Linked DNA regions of Rattus norvegicus. The protein of the gene in region 3 interacts with the protein of the main gene of each other region in a pairwise test. Links are inferred from orthologs where the notes say so. Each region holds a gene or a part of one and is shown on either strand. Other genes may lie near its edges.

Evidence for each region.
Region 1: the proteins of Dnaja3 (region 3) and Tcf19 interact in a two-hybrid assay, tested with the Homo sapiens proteins (2 studies listed by BioGRID and IntAct). The two-hybrid records come from large-scale screens. The link is inferred for Rattus norvegicus from reciprocal best matches to the Homo sapiens genes DNAJA3 and TCF19.
Region 2: the proteins of Dnaja3 (region 3) and Atosb interact in binary tests that used the Homo sapiens proteins (3 or more experiments, as listed by UniProt). The link is inferred for Rattus norvegicus from reciprocal best matches to the Homo sapiens genes DNAJA3 and ATOSB.

What each region holds. Positions count from the first base shown.
Region 1 is NC_086038.1:3,222,055-3,228,202, reverse strand, and holds Tcf19 (transcription factor 19), read right to left. Parts: upstream 4,740-6,148; 5' UTR 4,670-4,739; intron 4,397-4,669; 5' UTR 4,107-4,396; coding exon 3,869-4,106; intron 3,037-3,868; coding exon 2,487-3,036; intron 1,075-2,486; coding exon 1,068-1,074; 3' UTR 634-1,067; downstream 1-633. Other genes in the region: Pou5f1 (POU domain, class 5, transcription factor 1), read left to right, coding at 1-143; Cchcr1 (coiled-coil alpha-helical rod protein 1), read left to right, coding at 5,728-5,925. UniProt on the Homo sapiens protein: Potential transcription factor that may play a role in the regulation of genes involved in cell cycle G1/S transition. May bind to regulatory elements of genes, including the promoter of the transcription factor FOXO1.
Region 2 is NC_086023.1:62,059,875-62,065,823, forward strand, and holds the start of Atosb (atos homolog protein B), read right to left. Parts: upstream 4,740-5,949; 5' UTR 4,462-4,739; intron 4,449-4,461; exon of another isoform or gene 4,309-4,448; intron 2,013-4,308; exon of another isoform or gene 1,422-2,012; intron 1,241-1,421; 5' UTR 1,097-1,240; intron 850-1,096; 5' UTR 775-849; coding exon 1-774. UniProt on the Homo sapiens protein: Transcription regulator that may syncronize transcriptional and translational programs.
Region 3 is NC_086028.1:11,381,458-11,389,323, reverse strand, and holds the start of Dnaja3 (dnaJ homolog subfamily A member 3, mitochondrial), read left to right. Parts: upstream 1-2,724; 5' UTR 2,725-2,756; coding exon 2,757-2,967; intron 2,968-5,834; coding exon 5,835-5,968; intron 5,969-7,554; coding exon 7,555-7,638; intron 7,639-7,866. UniProt on the Homo sapiens protein: Modulates apoptotic signal transduction or effector structures within the mitochondrial matrix. Affect cytochrome C release from the mitochondria and caspase 3 activation, but not caspase 8 activation.

The DNA.
Region 1 (6,148 bases), on a different chromosome or scaffold from region 3:
CTCTGCCCCCAGGCCCCCACTTTGGTGCTCCAGGCTATGGGAGCCCCCATTTCACCACACTCTACTCGGTCCCTTTTCCTGAGGGCGAGGCCTTTCCCTCTGTTCCTGTCACTGCTCTGGGCTCTCCCATGCATTCAAACTGAGGCACCAGCCCTCCCTGGGGATGAGGTGAGCCAAGGCAAGGAAGGGAGGTAGACAAAGAGAACCTGAAGCTTTGGGGCCTAGATTCTTTTACTGGGGAGGAATTGAAAGCACAAACAGGGGTGGTTGGGGGGGCGGGGGGGGAGAGATGAAGTTCAGTGACGCTGTTGATCAGGAACCCGTCCGAAGTTCTTAAGTTCTTAAATAAAGTCTGGGATACACAGTAGATAGCTAAATTTTGTTTTCCTTCAGTTCCTAGAGGGCCTGAGGATGGAGAAAGCCAATAATGGAATTCTCAAACCCAGGCGGTCTTCAGAACAGGCGCCATTGAAACCGTGGGAGGTTACGAAACGCCCAAAGGGTTATTGGGGGTTGGAGGTCAACCTATAGAGGAAGGTATTGTGTGCCTGCCATCCTAGAGGATTTAAAGTCTGCCAGCCGAAGGATCTCGTCACCTCATCTTGCAGACTTGAGACTCAGTGAATGCCCCGATGTAGGTGAAGCAGTTTATTCTTTATTTGGAAATCAAAGGCAAAGCTCCGAAGAGCCAGTCACAAATACCTAGTTGGTGGCAGGATTAGCTAGCCTTGGCATGAGCGAAACCTTGGGGCTGTGCTCTGGGTCGTCCAGGGTGCGTTAGCCGATGCCGTTCAAGAACATTAGGGTTAGGGTGGGTGCTCAGTACAGGGGACTTGCCTGGTATGCTGGCCTCAGCAAAATAAGAAGACATTTAGCACCCCTTCTTAATGCCTTCAGGGATGGTTCCTGTGATTGATGCTCTAACTGTAGGATCCTGGTGTTTGTGGAAACGGGGCTTTACTCCTTGTTACTTAACTTGGAGGCTGCAGCTCTTTTTCCTGTCACTTCAGCCATAGTGCTCTCCAGCCTTGAGTCAGTCTTCTCTAGCAGTGGACCTCTCCCTGTGGTCATTCCCTTTGGAGAAAGACGTTTCTCAAAGTCCATGGTTACTTTTGAATGAGTGGTGCTTTGCGCACCCGCTCTCGCTCTCTCTCTCTCTCTCTCTCTCACTCACACACACACACACACACACACACACACACAGCCAGCTTCAGCCCTTCAAGCCATTCTTTAGTCTTCCAGTGTGTGCTGTTTGCATGTGTATCTGCAGGTCAGAAGAAGGCATCAGATCCCTTTTAGAGATGGTGGTGAGCCCCACCATGTGATTGCTGCCAATTGAACTCAGGACCTCTCTCTGGAAGAGCAGCCAGTGCACTTAACTGCCCAGCCATCTCCCAACTCAAGATCCATTCTAACACTGTCTGACTCTGAGTTGAGGGAGCCACATCTGTGCCCTGACTGCAAAGTCAAGGTGCCAACGTGGCACCCTGGGTGCTACAGCCAATGTGGGTCATATGGTACCAAATATCACAGCCATCACACCAAAACCCAGGCTACTTATAGCAGCAGCAAGACACTACACAGGGTTCCCCACCCCTACGGGAGTATTCCTGGAAACACACTAGTGTTTCCGTTCTGAATGCTCTATCCTGACTATTATTTACCTGAGGCATTTGAGGCTAGCCTGGGCTACACAGTGAGATCCTTCCTTGTGTTTTTAAAAAAAGTAGAATTGGGTGTCTCAAGCTGTTCTTCCAGAGAGTATCTGGGTTTGAACCCCAGTACCTACATAGTGGCTAGGAACTACCCATCTAGTTACAGAGGACCCGTTGCCCTCTTCTGGCTACTGTTGGTACTGCATGAACAACTCGGCAGTCAAAACAGCCATGCACAAAATAAAAGCAGCCCTGGGTTAACCTGCTTTCTAGTTTTGAGACAGTTGTTGGGGTTGGGGATTTAGCTCAGTGGTAGAGCGCTTGCCTAGCAAGCGCAAGGCCCTGAGTTCGGTCCTCAGCTCCGGAAAAAAAAAAATGACATGAGAGACAGTTGTCTATACAGTTTTTTATATATGCTGCTGGGACTCCAACCCTGGGCAAGTCAGAGGGCATCCAATCTCATTACAGATGGTTGTGAGCCGCCGTGTGGTGGCTAGGACTTGAACTCAGGACCTCTGGAAGAGCAGTCAGTTCTCTCAACTGCTCCAGCCTCCCAGATTTTTTTTTTTTTTGATTATGATGTGGACCTCAGACTCACAATGTTGTAGTCATCATGCAGATTGTTTTTATAGTCTAATCCTAACTGTTATTCCCCACCCCACCCCCCCAGCCTTGCACATAGTGGCTCTCATGCATCTGTGGGTGAAGGCTAGCCCAGGTGCATGCTGTGTTTGTGCACCCCTCTCCCCTGCCTTCTGAGACCTCACAGGGAGGCTGTTCCGGAGTCTAGGGTTCAAGGTGCTAACAAGGTTAATGCTGGACTCTACTTACCCACTGGATATCAGAGCCGTTTTCTCCAAACGCAGCTTCTTCCTGGGCTCCATCAGGACTGAAAGGTGCCCCGGGGAAGCCTCACTCTCATCATCCAGTTCTGCCAACACTTTATGAGCCGATTTCCTCCGGTTTCTTGTGGGTGGAGCGGGTGAAGCTCCCACTTCCCCTGGCTGAGTGGGAACGGCCAGGCTCTGCTGCCGGCCACCGCCACGGGAGAAGGTGAGAGGCTGGGGCTGCAGCTTGCTGAGGCTGCCGATGGAATTGAGAATCAGTGTGGCCTTGGGGGCAGAGGAGAGGGTGCTGAGTGGCCTCTGAGGTGCCCCTTGTGGGGGCAGCATGGGCTGGAAACCGGCCCCAGTTTTTCCCTTGGACCGAGGGACCGTGATGGCGGCAAAGTCCTGAGGTTTGACCCGGACTTGTTGGAACATGAAGTAGAATTCGGAGGAGCTGGTTCCTGCTTGCCCTTCGGGGCCAAAGGTCAGGAGGTCACCGTCACTCAACTCCAGCCTGTGTCCCCTTGGGAGTCGGACATTATTGACCAAAGTCCCTGTTAATGGTGAGACAGGAGACAATTGACAAGAACAGGAACAGGCTTCTAGTCAGAAGTACCATGATGGTCTGGCCATTCGAGCCCCCCCCCCCCCCCCCCAAAACACACACCAGGAGAACACAGGGTCAGGCATTAAACTCCAAGAAGCAAGCTTATTTTTCTCCATGACAACGGGAGGCTTCCTTTCTGGGCTTAGCTCTTCTTGGATAAACAGCCCTTTTTCCCCCCTTCCTAAGATTCCCAGAACCCATGATTCCTCCTGCCTCAGCTCTGAAGTGCTGAGATCAGAGTACACCACCAATACTTGCCTCTTGCTGTCATTTTCTTTGTGTCTCACACCTAACACAGAATAAGACCTAGCCTATAACACCCTGAGCACTCACTTGCCTGTTGGGGACTAATGCCCAGGACACATCAGATAGGGCTTCTCCAAACCTGGTGTTTGACCTAACAGGAATCTAAGAACTGAACCCTAACCCCAGCCTTGGGGGGTGGGGGGGCTGCCTTGGGTTAGGACAGAATGCCTAGGTCACTAGAACACTCATAACTGCCTTAGTGACGGCAAGGTGCAAACAGTCAGATCTGAGCTTAATACTAGATCCATAGAATTTGATGAAAGTCAACACACCCCTCCTAGGTCCTGTGTGAGCTAAAACCAGACAAACAGGTTAGTCCTGTGAAGAGCTGACAGAAGCATAGTTCTCCTGGCCAATTAAGACTGGACCATGACCACTCGACAGAGACTGACAGGACTCTGGGAAGTACGAAGCAGGTTCCCAGAGGCTCCCCTTTCTCATGCCTACCTGGGGGCTGCCTGCTCACTGCTTACCTTGGCTGCTGTGATCCTCCAGGCTGACCCTCCAGTCGTCCCCTTGGAGTTCAGCATGCAGTTCTGCATGGACCCCAGAGATGAGGCCAGGCTCCTGCTGGGGCCGCAGGGCCACATCACACAGGTCAGCCCTGCAGCCCAACCGATAGGTGCAGCCAGACTTGGATGGGGGGTGGAAGGTATAGAGATCACCGCCCCTGCCGCCCCCTATGCGCAGCAGCTGGAAGCAGGGCAGCATGGGGGTGCCCCCTGTGCACCACTCCTCCCACTTTAGCAGTCCATTCCCCTCTTCTACTCCTGGGTCATGCGCCGTGGGCTTCGGTTCAGTTCTCTCCGATGCCAACTTAGGAAGTGCAGATTCAGAGCGCCCAAGGCCTGGACATGCACCACAGCAGAGGTTGTCAAGATGAGGTTTTAAGAAAAAACTCTAGCAAAGTCCTGATGCGATGCAAAACCAGGAAGACGTCCTACGGCAACACAGTGAAGCCGGATCCCCAGGCCGCTCAACATCCGGGAGCCTTTGACAATCTGTGCAGGGCAAAGCTAGTTTAATCCGCAGCTGGGAACATGCAGAGGGGGTGAAAGGGGTCCTGCTACATAAACGTGCGTGCGACACGACCTTGTCACCCTAAGTGTAACCTGGAGCCTGAGAACTTATGGTCAAACTTGCTAATCTAACTGGGGTACCCCTTCCATCCTCCCCCGTTCTTGGGGCCAGTTCCCCTGAGAAAAGTGAATCCGCTGTCACCCACAAAGGGCGGTGCAGACGGGTCCCTAATTCTGTAACAAAGTGGATCTCACCCTTTCCTTTTTTCGCTCGCGGGGTAAACTGAGGAAAGAGACTCAGCACCCTGGGCGCCGCGCTCCCGCCGCGGTTTGACAGCCAGGGAAGCCGCCCCGAGGGCGCGGCTTGGGTGGGCGAGCGCGCGCGCGCGCGCGCCGCGCAGACTCCTCCCTCGGAATTCCCGGGTCCGACTTTCGCGCCCGCGAGCCTGCTCCCGCGGTCTGCTTCTGATTGGTCATTTGAGTTGCGTCCCTCTGCTTTATTGGTCGGTGCGTGGGCAGGGGTTGCCTATCTCCCGCCCTCCGCCACTTCTGATTGGCCGGCACGTTTTCCCGGGTTCCCGGGAAGGGGCGGGGCTGTCAGGGCGCGGAGAAGATCTTGGGCGTCGGTGTTCCTGCGTGCACCTTTCTTCTTCCTATTTCCGGTAGGGGAGAAATGGTGCTGTAGAGCAGCCCGCCAACACACCCGCTTCGCGCATGCGTGATCAGGGTGTGGCGTCTAGACTGGGAGCTAGGTGTAAGGGGCGTGGCAAGAGGGCGGATCTCGCGCTGGGTAAGGGGCGTTCGGGCAGAGTCAGTTGGGGGCGGAAAGAGTCTGAGAGGGGGTACAAGGGGGGCGGAGGGGGGGTCCACAGGGCAAGAGGGGTGCAGGAGTCGGGTCAAGGGACAGATGAGGAGGTCAAGACAGCCTCAGAGTTCAGGGTGGTCCTGATAGGGTTGAGCCAGGAGTGTGTGCGGGAGAGGAGAGGGGGGAGACAGGACAGGGAGCCACCAAGATAATTCCATCGAGAAAGATTCAGACTAGGACTTAGGACTAGGAAGAGAAGCGGGTAGGAATTTCGGGGGTCGAGTGAAAAAAAAAAAAACTTGAATTAACGGAAGTGGGGGAAAGGAGATGCTGTAGGACTCTGAAGAGAGGTGCATCGGGGATGGAAATCCCCTAGGGGATAGAGTGCAACTGAAGCCAGTTACAGAGAGGCACAGATGAGTTAGCAGGAAGCTGGCTTCCCAGCAACGGGCTTCCAGGCTGCGCGGGTTCCTCCCTCGGGGATCCTAGGGAAGCCGCTTAACCCCACATGTGGCCTCATTCTTCTGGGGCCAGGCCTTGGGCTAACCCTTTAATAGGAAATGACCCAGAAATCGTGACTCGATGGTGCCTAGATGGGCTTCCCAACGGGCCTACCATTCCGTGGCGAGGACTGTGGAGACTGGGTTCCCTATACTGTGTTCAGAGAGTCCTGAGCTGCAGGGACCGTAGACACTTAAGGAGGAAGGTAAAGGCAACACCCAGAATCCTGTAAGTAGAAGCAAGCCTTCATCTCAGCAAATTTACCTTAGGGTTGTCGCCTGGTTCGTTAGAGCATGGTTGGGACAAACAAGTGGTTTGGCTATGGTCTGTCTTCTTAGGGAAGTAGGAAAAGAGAAGCCTATGGCCGGATAGACCTGCCAGTAACTTAAGGATTATGACTTTGTTGTTATAGGGCTTTCTCTTTGGAA
Region 2 (5,949 bases), on a different chromosome or scaffold from region 3:
CTCATCTTCAGAGCTGACATCAAGGGCTTCTCCAGCAGGCAGCAGCCTTCGCTTGGTGGGGCAGGGGCCTGGAGGTCCAGGGCCAGGGGGTGTGTGCTCGGGACTGTGCCCATTGGCAGTTCCATGGGACTCCCTAGGCCAAGGGTTGCTCCCGTTGCCCACCCTAGCCACTGGGCTCTTACCCCCTATTTGTGCAAGATTGTGCAAATCAGTGTCAAGTGTGTGCAGCTGGCCTGAAGGGGCTGGCCCTGGAGACTCCCCCAGGCACCCCTGTCCCCCTTGATCTGGGAAAGCCCAGTCTCTGGTGTGCAAAGTATTGCAGGAAGCATTTGATGAGGGCCAGGGGGTACTCTGGGTCCCTGAAGTCCAAGATGAGGTGGCACTACCTCCTTGTTCCACAACACGGAGGCCATGGTGGGAGAAATGCTGGCTAGCCACACCCAGTCCCAGACCCAGTCCCTCTGGGCTCACGAGTCCCACAGTAGATGGTTCTTCGGGGGGTAGTCCCTCTCTGGCCCCCAGCCCAGGGCCTCTCTTCAGCTCCCGGGGACCCTCAGTGGAAGGGGCCGGCCGCTTCAGAGCCCTAGGAGGCTCGGAGACGCCAGCTGAAGGGGAAAAGATGGATACCTGGTAGACCCCGGGGGATGTTGCCCCCCCTGCTGGGCTGTAGCCCATGAGCAGGCCACCCTGGAGGGTCCCCTGTGTGACTGGAGGCTGTGAAGGGCCAGCCTCTGGCTCTGAGGATGGAGACAGCTCCGCCTGCACGTGGCGCATGAAGCCCCCCTTGGGTCAGGGGGGCCCCCCCACACGGCCTTTATGCTGGGCCTGGGCTGGGAGGCCTGGGGACATCTGTAGGAAAGAAAAACAGGAGGTCAGGAGAATCAAGGAGTCTTCTTTCTTCCAGCAGAGTTTCAGATCCTCCCTCTCTCCTCAACAGATGACTTTGAGCAATTTGTTGGGGGTAAAGTTGTCCAAATCCCTGGACAGACCAATGAAAGTCAGAGACCACTCTCGGAACTCCTGGGAGGGGCACACCTTCTCTTCCAGTTTCCTACTGGACTTGCAATACACCCCTCCCCTCTTTCCTGGAAGTTACCCCGATGAAGAAGCCTCAAGCCTGGGCGTGTGTCCTCTTTTCCTGTCTGATGTCTTGTCCCTCTAGCTTGCAGTCTGGTCCATGCCCACTGCACCGGCAAGGTGACTGCCACCATTCCGCGCAGCTCCTGGGCTCAGTTGGACCCTGAGGGAAAAGAGGAAATATAAGCTGGGATCCCTGCAGCCAATGGTAAGATCCCCCCAACACTAATATGGGCTACTATATCGGCACATACACCAAGATATCTTCCCGCTTTGGGATAAACTCTTCAGGAATAGAAGGGGCAGGCTGGAGACCTAGGGCACATGCATAAGAATTGGGCTACCTGAGGACTCAACACAGAAGCAAGTCTTGGCTGACTGTCTTAAGGATGTGAGAAATGAGTAGAGGCAAGATGAACCACTTGTCAAGGCCTCCATCTTGGGAAGTGGCTCTGCATAGTGGGGTGGGGGAGGGGGGGAGGGGTAAGATGCCTCAAAGATCAGAGAGATTCCATGTCAGCTAGTAGGTGGACAGGGTAACAGTGTTCTTCTCTTACTCAAGGCCCTCCAATTACACAACTCATCTCCATATGTCTATACAAAGGGGCAAGTGCGACTCCAGAGTGCTAAGAGCAGAGGTCATGCAGATAGGCACACCCCATCACACAACTACAAACCCCAAGTCAGCTCCAGGCCAGCCCTTCACACTTAAAATACTAACTTTCCCCAGAAATCTGTCTTTTTAACAGAGAAAAGAAATCCAAAGCGGGGCAGTGGTGGTGCTGGGATTGGTGGTGCTCACCTCTAATCCCAGGACTGGGAAGGTAGAGGCAGGCCGGTCTCTTTGAGTTCAAGGCCAGCCTGGTCTACAGAGAGAGTTTCAGGATGGCCAGGGCTATACAGAGAAACCCTGTTACCTTCACCCCCTAACCCCTCCACCCCCAAAAAAGAAAAACAAAAAAAAACAAAAAAAGAAATCTAGGGCTGGAGAGATGGCTCAGCGGTTAAGAGCACCCGACTGCTCTTCCAGAGGTCATGAGTTCAATTCCCAGCAACCACATGGTGGCTCACAACCATCTGTAAAGAGATCCGATGCCCTCTTCTGGTGTATCTGAAGACAGCTACAGTGTACTTATATATAATAAATAAATAAATCTTTAAAAAAAAAAAAAGAAATCTAACCAAAAACAAGGGATGGAAGGAGAGAACTGTCAGAAGGCACTTTATAGTTCCCACCCCTCCCCCCAGGCCCTGCAAACCAGAGATAAGGAAGCAGCAAGCAGTCAACTAGAAACAACTGGAGTATCTCCCCATGCCCCTCCCCCTCAGGCACAACCAGTACTCAAAAAAACCTAAAGCATTTCTTTGTTGCCATGGCACAAAAATGGTCTTCACAGACCATTAGCCAATATTTCAGTGACCAGACTGTCAAGTTGAAGGCCAACAGTCCCCACTGTCATCCTTATTTGGTCAGCAGTCTGTGAGGAATACCAACCATAATGCCCTTTATCATAATGCTAGAGGCTGAGGCAGGAGGATCTAAACCAGTCTAGCTACATTTTGAGAGGTCCTCTGTCAAAATCAAACAAAACAAAAATTACAAAAAGAAACAAATGAAAAACAGGTTACAGCCGGCCTTCACACTCCACCAGACAGTTAAGGTCAGACGGTTAGACGGGGCTACAAGACATCCTATCTCAGACAAAACACAAAACCAACAAAGAAGCTGAAGGGTGGTAGTACACGCTAGTTCACACACTCTGGAGGCACAGCCAGGCAAATCTCTGAGTTCAAAGCCAGCCCAGTGAAAAACCTGTCTCCAGAAAACAAAACAAAACAAAACAAAAACTAGAACCAAGCCCAACAAATATAACAAAATACCTTTTCCCACCCCTCTTTCACGGATATCTCAAAGTCATTCCCCTCCAAAAGATCTCTCATCTCAGACTTCCATAAGACAGTGCCACTAACTACTTTCTGTAACCCGGTAATACTTCCGTTTACTTCTGATTATGTCACACCTGAGGATGGGTCTGTGTTTCTTCCCCAGTCCCATTTCAAGCTCAGGAGAAACACACATCAGAATTCAAAAAAGCCTAAATACTAGCACTAGTGATTTGGTCAGCAGTCCTGACAGTGTAGAGAAACACTACGGGTGAAGAGTGGAGAGATTAATTGTACAGGGGGAAACTGCAGCAGCTCATGTGGTTGTAGGAGACGGAGAGAAAGGTGACATTTACACTTAGGGACTGAGAAACTCTCCCACATCAACTGTTGCCTTCCTTTCAGGCCATACTTTGCCATTTCGCCAGGTCCCCCTTTGAATGAGATCCTAAGAATATTCTGGTCCTTCCCGTGGGTGAGATGGCTAGAAAGTGGAGAACGTCAGTAGTGGCAGTGTCATGAGAGTATAACCTGTTCTCATTTCTTCCCTGCCTGTTCTCCACCCAGGCTTTAAAGTTCAAGAAGGGCGTTTTCTTGAGCACCCCAATTTCCAGGTCATCTCAGTTGCCCTCCTGAGCTCTTGCCTCAAGGAAGCCAGGTGATGACATGATGCCCTACTTGACCCCAGCATGCCTGGCATCTGCTCATTAATCCAGAGCCCTATTAGTTCCCTCCCTGTCCAGAGACGCTCTAAGACTCACTCCTCTGCCACCCAGCTTCAAGCTGACTCATGGGGAAGGACTGCAGGGAGAGGGGACAGGCCAGTATAAGCCAAACCTCGCCCTCTACACTGGGGATGGGCAGCAGCTGGCATTAAACAGCTGTGCCAGACTGTGGCTGCCAAGGACTACAGCTCCCAACATGCCGAGAGCAAGGTCAGCAAAAACAACAAGTCCCAGAATACCATGAGGTCTGTACCCTCAGATACTTGTTAGACTTGGGAGGTGGGAGAGGTTGTGGTACAGGAAGAACACCTAGGCTCATTCTATCCTTCCCTTCAGTTTCAAGACACCCATTTTTACCCTAACGAGGTGGGGGAAGAATTCCTATCCATGTGTTTTCCACTCTTATCCTAGGCAGAGTTCCGCTGCTCACTGCTGTACATTTTGTCCTCATACATGTCTATACACGCTAAGGTGACTGTTCCCAAGACCACTGCTGTGAGTAGAAAGGTCAATCTCTGCTTTTCACCTTCCCTCCCTCTGACTCCTGGCCTAGAGCCCTTCACCCTTAATAGAGAGGGAGCAGACCTCAGGGACCCCTCCAAACTCAGACACGGAGACTCACCTTGGCTCCTGGACTCCTTGTCCTGGACGATTTCCCCCCCACCCCCTGCTCAGCCTCCCAGGTCGGTTCTCATCCCTTCTTCACAGGCTGGGACAGGCCCCATACCGTGCAGAGGTTTTGGAGATCTGATCCTTCCACCTAGTACACACTCACCCCACTCCCAAATTGGCTCCGCCGCGGTGGCCGCTGCTCCGGGCCCTTCCGTCCCGTCCCCGTTCCGATCCCTGTCCCTCCCCTCGGATAACCAGTCCCCCCTACTACGGGCCCCCAACCCAGACAAAGGGTGGCTTAGGCTGAGAGCCTTGCTCTGCTTGGCTCTTCTCTGATCAGCTTCGTGTGCAACACTAGCGGGCTCTGGCGTACGCAGCCCCTCTAGCTGCTGTTGCACCCCTCCCTGCGACGGTCCCTCCCCGGGGCCGCCCCGGCTCCTCGCCGCAGACTCAGCTGCCCCTCTGACTCACAGGCCATTTCCTACCAGCTGATGGGGCCGCCCGCCCCGCCCAGCGCCCAGCCACCCCCAGCACTGCGACCACGGCTGCCACGCCCCCCTCAGACCACACCCTCCAAGGGCAACAACTATGTTCATTGGTCCAGTGGAGGCCAGCCTCTCAGCAACCTCAAGCGTGAGTCACGCCCTCTCCAAGGGGCGCACGCCTATTGGTCCACATAAGGGCAGGCCTACCCAATGTCGCCCCGCCCACCTCCTTAACCCTTTTTTCTGTCCAAGTCCTAAGCAATTCTCTGCCCTGTCATTTAACCTCATTCAGACTTCATCCTCTCAGCGCTCAACAAATCTTTCTCCTCCACACTTCCTGTTCTTAAGTAAATTAATAGGAAGCTCCAGGGCTTTCACAGATACAGTTCAACAATCTCCAACTCATACCAAACACAACCACACATAACCCCAAGCCCATTCATCCCCCCACCCCATCCCGAAATAGAGCTCCAAGAGCGTTGTTGCTATCTAGTAAGCTTTCTACAAAAGCAGGCAAAAAAAGACCTAAAGTCGTACCGTATCTCCATCCATACTGAAAGATGGCATTCGCACCCCCCTCCCTTTTGCCTTTGTTTGGAGACCCCAGGAGGCTCCTGAGATAAAAATACATTTAAATTTCAGGGATTCAGGCCTCATCCGTTGGGCTCAAAACTCTTCACGGATCAGGCTTTGGAGCACTCTTTGCTAACAGACCTCTGCTCCAAGGAAGCAGAGTATCCTCAGCAGTGAGTTAAAAGGCCTTCTGCCCAGAGTCAGTCTGGAGACCAAGTTAGTCTTCATGACTCACAGCTCCCTCGAAACTCACCAAGCTCCCCTTGAGTCACTGGGCCCCAGGCCCAGCCCAGAGCCAGCCAAATTAAGCAGTAGCAGAATAAGCATCCCTAACCTTTGTCCTTAGCTCTGTAAATAATCGGGGTGGAATTTTTGCAAGGCCTGGACATTCATAGACACTTTTTAGAGGGACTGCTCTGGAGATAACCTGAGAAGATGGGTAGCCTTGTCTACCTTGTCCTCTGAACTTATCAGTGGGTCAGACAGGTTGTCACCAACTCAGGCCTTTTCTCAGTCACAGAAATGGAACAAACAGCAGAACCAAAAGAAGTAAAGGCCTGTGCTTTGCCTATGCGATGAGCCCCAAGGACCAT
Region 3 (7,866 bases):
AGAACAGCAGACTATCAAAGGCAGGTTCTCCGGAAGCGCAGCAAGAACTCTTACCTGCAGATCCATCTCTCTAGCTCCAATAAAAATGATTCTTGCGGGGCTTGGGGATTTAGCTCAGTGGTAGAGCGCTTGCCTAGGAAGCGCAAGGCCCTGGGTTCTGTCCCCAGCTCCGAAAAAAAGAACCAAAAAAAAAAAAAAATGATTCTTGCAAGGCTCCGTGGTGCCCATCTGTAGTCTTAGCAGTTTTCGAGAGTGAGTGCGAGGCTGGCTTGAGCTCACAAGTTGGAGACTAGCTTGGGCCCTCTAAGGAAGGATGGAGTTTCTATAGTGCATACAGCAGAGACTAAGACTTGAGAGGAGGAGCTCCCACATTTTTTCCTGAGTTCTTGCTCTTAGTCACTGTGCTGGGGATATTTAGATGCATTTGCTGCCGAGTGCATGCTAGGAACTCTTGTTCCCTCTCAGCCCCTGCGCCTTCTTCCCTGTTTGACCGAGATGCTCCTCGTTCACATCAATGACTCAAGGCTATCACAGGAGCTCTCCATGCACTTTACAATAGCTCTGTAACTGCTTTCCGCTTGATTGGTAGTTCTTAAAGATTTATTCATTTTATTTATATCAGTACATTGTAGCTGTCTTCAGACACACCAGAAGAGGGCATCAGATCCCATTACAGATGGTTGTGAGCCACCGTGTGGTTGCTGGGAATTGAACTCAGGACCTCTGGAAGAGCAGTTGGAGCTCTTAACCGCTGAGCCATCTCTCCAGCACCTGATTGGTAGTTTTTGACTCGAGTCTCAGAATCCACTGAGAATTTGGCTGGTGAAGGTTATGGATATCTACCTGGGATAACATACACACAAATTCTGGGTACAAAACTGGGAGTAGAAAGTGGCAGTGTGCTCTCTCTCATGCTCATGCACATTTGTGTGTGTGTGCACGCACGTGCATTGTGTGGTGTCTCCATTGATCATTCTAAACCCATTCATGAGCCCTCAGATTCCCTTCCTTTTATTTGGGACGGTGGTGAAAAATTTAACTTTCACAACTAACCAGGCCCAATTTAGCTTTCTAGCTTCGTTTTCAGTTACATACTAAAGGTAAGGTTTTAGCATACACTCCTACACCTTCAGACACCAGCTTTGATATATATATACACAAACTGATGGCATGACTGCTCCATAGTATGCTAGACCTGGTCATTAGAGGAGAGAGAGAGAGAGAGAGAGAGAGAGAGAGAGAGAGAGAGAGAGAGAGAGAGAGATAGAGAGAGAGAGAGAAACACTGAAAACAGCAGGGTTATAAGGTGAATGAGTAGCTTGAGGAAGGGGAACCCGTGAGCTGGGGAGTTTGGAGTAGGGAGATGAGAAGAGCTGGGAATGTGTAACTGGTATTTATGGTACTAAGGGAACCTGAAGGCCTGATGTGCTTTGGTATGCTAATAGTCACCAGAAATAGTCACATGTCCCTTCTGCCAGGAATAAGGAGAATGACTCTTTTTGATACAGGGAACCAACTTTACAAGTTTGTTTGTTTGTTTGTTTGTTTGTTTTTTGTTTTTTTTTTTTCAGAGACAGGGTTTCTCCGTGTAGCCCTGGCTGACCAGGTAAGCCTCAACCTCGGCGAGATCCACTTATCTCTACCTCCCAAGTGTTGGGATTAAAGGTATGCGACACCATTGCTGGTTTTTATCCTACCACTAGAAATCTTCCTGTACTACAGGTTGAGTCCTTTTCTAGATATTTGGAGTTTGGGAAGTTGGAGTCTCCTTTGGACCCGAGATGAGGTCTCATGTAGCCCCGAGTATCTTGAACTTGCTATATAGTTGAAAATGATCTTGAACTCCTGATCCTCCTACCTCGATCTCATCTGGCAACTTCTGCTGCACTCATCACTTGGAAATCTACATCTGTACTCGATACTCTTTTCATCAAAGTCCAGTTATAGACATTACAACTCAGAAAGTTTAACAGTCCATAGACATTACAACACAGAAAGTTTAACAGTCCACCTCCCTCTCTTCCAGCCAAGTCTAACGAGTTTGAGTACACCGGCATGCTTGTAACTATGCACCTCTGATAGCGTAGCGCTTACCGTTGTTAACTTAATAAGAAGTCTGTCCCTATGAGGCGAGTTTGCTCCTCTAGTACGGGTTTGCTCTTACATTAAATTCTAGAACATGGATAACAAACAGCAGGTGCACAATACATAATAGGCATTCACAATGCTCATTGAATTCTCGCTGCAGGTTTGGAGAAGGCTAACATGCTTAAGACGGACCTGAGTGTTTCAAGTTCAGCTGCGAGGGAATCAGGCACGGAAAAACAGCAGCCAACAACCGGGGTAAGGGCTTTCTGAGAGAACATGAAATAAGAGGTAACGTTCAGGGTCAAGGGAGGGCATCCGCACGCGGCATACCGGAATCTGATACTGACGCTGCGCTGTCTGCTGGGATTTGTAGTCCCTCCCAGGGCAAGGCTCGCCGGATTACGGTTGCTACACTCAACCACAACATTCACAAGTAAAGTGCAGCATTCGTTCGTACATCACAAAAATTCCAATACAGGGAAAAATTACAAACTGACATCCTCATAGTTTAGCACTTGTACACGTTGACGTAGAGTTCTACCGTTCGGAGACGGAAGCGCGTGCGCAATGCTTACGCTCTGCGTGCAGCAGATGCTTCGCCTCCGGAAGTCGCGACCGGCGAGGCGGGCTAGGGGCGGTCTGCGCAGGCGCAGTGTCCCCGGGCCAAAATGGCTGCGCGGTGTTCCCCACGCTGGTTTAGGGTGGCGGTGGGGACCCCCCGGCTGCCGGCTGCAGCGGGGAGAGGGGTCCAGCAGCCCCAGGGGGGCGTAGTGGCAGCATCCCTGTGTCGCAAGCTGTGTGTCTCTGCCTTCGGGCTTTCCATGGGCGCTCACGGCCCCCGGGCGCTGCTGACATTGAGACCCGGTGTCCGCCTCACAGGTGAGGGAGGCTTCCAGTTCTGGAGTAGCAGCTCTTGGGGTTAGAAAGGGCAATTCGCCTCCATCTGACGACCAGGGTAGCGGGATGGAGGTGTCTTCCGGCCAGAGAGAGGAATTTCTGGGGACACAGGCAAGCAGGAGGCAGAGAGGCCAAGGTGCTGGCTACCCAGAAGCCGTCGAGGGGGAAGAGCTGCGTGGAGCTGGAGGTGTTGAAAGGCTCCGAATACCATGAAGACCTGTCAACAGTTCACCCCTCTGTCCAGGCTGCAACTCCCTTGTCATAACCCTCCCCGTTTTTCTTCACGTTCTAGCTTGTAGTGGAAGATGTAACTGCCATTTAGTGAGTGCTAGGCACCCAGAAATTTAGGGAGATACAGGTGCTTGTCCTCATTAAGGTGGGAAAGTGTGATGAATTGTCATTTCATAGCTTTCATCCTCAACATCACGGGGTGTAAATGGAAGGGCATCCATCAGTCTTTTAGAATCTTTAAGTCAGTGAGTGTAATAATGTAATCTAACATTTATTAAACACTGTGTAGGAAGTATGATTTCACTCCTGGAAAATATTTCAATGTGACAGGCATTGTTACCATTACATTTTATGGAGAAACAGGCTTGCATGTTAAAAAAAAAAAACAAAACTTGAGAAAGTCACAAAGCTAAAAAGCGGTAGTCTCTGCATGGCCCTTAACCTTCCTTACTGCTGGAGATGATACCAAATTAGTGTGCATTAAGCCTTGACATGTTTTAGCCATGCTCTCTTCTTTCTCTTTAAAAAATATTTTTTAATTATTTTGAGTTATGTATATGTGTGTGTATGTGTGGGTATGTGCTCTTAAGTACAGGTGTCCAAAGAGGCTAGAGGCATCTTATCCCCCTGGAGTTATGGGCAGTTATGAGCTGCTATACTTAGGGTCTAGGAACTGAACTTGTGTCCTCTACAAGAGCAGTATGTGCTTTTTTTTTTTTTTTCTTTTTTTTTTCTTTTTTTTCTTTTTTTCGGAGCTGGGGACCGAAACCAGGGCCTTGTGCTTCCTAGGCAAGCGCTCTACCACTGAGCTAAATCCCCAACCCCCAGTATGTGCTTTTAATTGCTGAGCCATCTTTCCAGCTGCCACGATATTTTCTTTTCTTTTCTTTCCTTTTTTTTTTTTTTTTTTTTCCGGAGCTGGGGATTGAACCTAGGGCCTTGCGCTTGCTAGGCAAGTGCTCTACCGCTGAGCTAAATCCCCAACCCCGATATTTTCTTATACTATGTTATTCCACTTCATTTTCAGTGAGAATGAAGGAAGGAAGTCCTGAACTTTACTTTGGGTAGTTCTAAGGATCAAGAACAGAGGGTCTCATGCATGCCTTAAAGCGTTTTTTAAATTATGTATCCGTGTGTGAGAGAGACATAGAGGCATTAAGTATTACTTATATATGGAAGCATTACTGAAGAACCACCGTTGGCATTCCTCAAGTCAGCCCATAGGCTGCAGTGGGCATATTTTATCTCTCAAGTGACCATAGATGTGAAAGTGTCATCCTGTAGTGGTGTATCCTACCACATCTAAGTCATCAATTTGGCCCCAAACTTTAGCCTGTGATCATTCTTGAAGACTGATTTATAAAATCATATGGCATGAAAAATGTCCCAAGCAGGGCCTGGAGAGATGGCTCAGCTGTTGGGAACTCAAGACTGCTTTTCCCGAGGACCCAGGTTCAATTTCAATTCCCAGCACCCATATGGTAGCTTTCAGCTGACTGTGGCTCTGGGTCCAGGGGATCTGACACCCCTTCACAGACATACATTCAGTCAAAATACCAAAACATATGAAATAAACAAGTCATTAAGAAAGAAATCTCCCAACTAGAAAGAAATTAATAACTGGCTACTGGATTAGGCTTTCTTGGAATAATATGAAGACTGATCCTATTCTGGGTTCAAAAACAGCAAGATATTTACTGGACATATTCTGGAGAAAAAAAAAGATTCTTCCTAACAGTTGCTAATCATTGTCACCTTCAGAATTGGAAAAGGCATCCACCATGTAATAGTTGCCTGTGGTTATTTGTGCAGTTTCCTTGAGCTCTCTGATGGTGTTGTAGAAGCTGGTACAGCTGCCAAACTTTTGCCACTAATAGACTCAACTCCTGACAGTGGAAGGAGTGAGGAGAACAGGAATACAGCTAGGCATATATTGAGCAAAGAGGTGGAATATAGGATCACCAAGATCCAGGTCTCATGCTTTCTCCGGTGTGACTGAAGAAACAATAACAGCCCCCCCTTTAAATCATATTCTGATTATTTCTGATTATTCCTGCTCGTTTTTTATTATTACTCCTTTTTTCTACATGTGCTCAGCCTCTCTAGCTAATGTTTTTTGTTTGTTTTTGTTTGTAGTTTGGTGTCATATGTACCAGGCTGGCCTGGAACTTTTGTGTAGCTATGAATGGACCTTGAACTTTTTTTTTTTTTTTTCCCCCCTCAGGGCTGGGGATTGAACCCAGGACCTTGCGCTTCCTAGGCAAGGCTCTACCACTGAGCCAAATCCCCAACCCCGACCTTGAACTTTTGATCCTCTGTTTCCCTCTCCCCATGTTAAGACTGTGGGCATGTGCTCATCGTCACTGTTGTGCTGGGTTTATTCAGTGCAGGGAATCAAACTCAGGGCCTGGTAAGCAGTGTACCTACTGAACTATGTCCCTAAGCTTTCCCCACATTTGAAGAACATTGAGTTTGGCCTCTAGAGTACTCGAAGGGAATAGGCCCTATAGCTGGGGCTCGTTTCCTCTTTCACAGGTGTTTCATAGCTGGTCACTTACTTATAATTTCTTCTTGTTGGATAAAGTCCCAGACCAACTTACTTTCTTGTTCATTTCCAGGAACAAAAAGTTTCCCTTTTGTTTGTACTGCTTCCTTCCACACAAGTGCTTCTTTGGCCAAAGATGATTATTACCAGATACTGGGAGTACCCCGAAATGCCAGCCAGAAGGATATCAAGAAAGCCTATTATCAGGTCTGTACTGGTCTCAGATTTACTGACAAGACTGTAGAAAGATTGCTGGTCACTGTGTGTGCATGTGCATGTGTATGTGTGTATGTGATGCAGATGTTCACAGAGGGCAGGGATCCCCTTGGGATTATAGTTACAGGCAGCGTGAACCATCTGCCACGGCTGAGAATTGAGTTCAGGTCTTTTGGAAAAGGGGTATGTGCTCTTAGCTACTGAGCTATCTCTTCAACCCAAATCGTTGTTGATTCTGTGTGGTTCTTATTGCCTTGGTATACAGCCTGCTGAGGCAGGTCACAAACAGCTGATCCTGTGGAATGACCTGTGAAAGATGGAGAGTTTTGGATGCCTTTGGTATGCAGTGAATGTGATATCAGTTAATGTTGCTTTAAGAAAGAAAAGGGGTGGGTAAGATGGCCCAGTGGATAAAGTCATTTGACACCAAGCCTAGTGACCTGAGTTTAATTCCTCCAAAACCATTTTAAACAGGAGAGAACTGACTCCACAAAGTTGTCCTCTGACCTCTACATGTATACCATGCTGACCACACAGTTATGACATAAATAAATGAAAATTATATAGGAAAACATCATCATTATTATTTTTTATAGCAGTAACTGCCATGAGTGCATTACATAATCCCTCAAAACCTTGCACAGCAGGCAGGCCAGGTATGGTTGTGCATGCCTTTTTATCCCAGTCCTGGGAGACAGAGGCAAGCAAAGTTCTGTGAGTTTAAGGCCAGTTTCTCTCAAAACAAACAAACAAAAAAACCAAAAAACCCACAAAAAACAAAGCCAGGCAGTGGTGGCGCATGCCTTTAATCCCAGCACTCAAGAGGCAGAGTCAGGGGGATCTCTGAGTTTAAGGCCAGCCTGGTGAACAGAGCTCATTCCAGGACAGCCGGGGCTTCATAAACCCTGACTTGTAAATCCAAACAACCAAAGTCGTACAGGTTATTTACTTCCTCTATTACATAAGTCAGTGTGCCAGGATGGCGTTTTACTCTCTGCTTTCACACAGGCGCCTGCATGCCGAAGAGCTAGTCACACAGTTACCAGCTACTTTCTAACATTTATTTATTTTTGGTTTATGTGCATGAGCGTTTGTCTCATGCATGTGTGCTGCATGCGTTCTCCGTGCCTTCAGCGATCAGCAGAGGACGTCAGACTGGAGTTTTAGAGTTGTGAGCTACCACAGGAGCTGGCAACTCAGTCCAGGTCCTCTGCAAGGGTACTAAATGCTTTTTTTACTTTAAGTTTTTTTATTATGTAGAGTGTTCTAACTGCATGTGTATGGCTCACCAGAAGATGGCACCAGATCTTATTCTAGAAGGTTACTGAGAATTGAACTCAGGACCTCTGGGAGAGCAGCCAGTGCTTTTAACTGCTGAGTCATCGCTCCAGCCCCTTAATGAACTATTTTTGGAAGACATCCATGGAGGAATGATTTATTTTCAAATTTTAAATCTTGCTTTAAAGATACATTGCTGTCTCAAGAGAGACATGTTATAAAAAGGCATAATTGTGGCAAGTGTTTAGGTTCTGTTTTAGTAACTATATCTATAGTAATTTGCTTTCCCCCCCCCTTAGCTTGCCAAGAAATATCATCCAGACACAAATAAGGATGATCCCAAAGCCAAGGAGAAGTTTTCCCAGCTGGCAGAAGCTTATGAGGTAATGTGACGTGTGTGTGTGTGTGTGTGTGTGTGTGTGTGTGTGTGTGTGTGTGTGTGTTTTCACTGGCCAGTCAGCTCTCTGTGCATGTGTCAGAGTCTGTACTGCCCAGGACAACTTGGCATATCATATAGTCCAGTGTGGTGTGATGTCATTGCTAGTTCTGCTAACTTAGAATCTAAATGAAGAAAAAGGCTGACAAGATGAGTCAGTGGGTATGTCTATCTT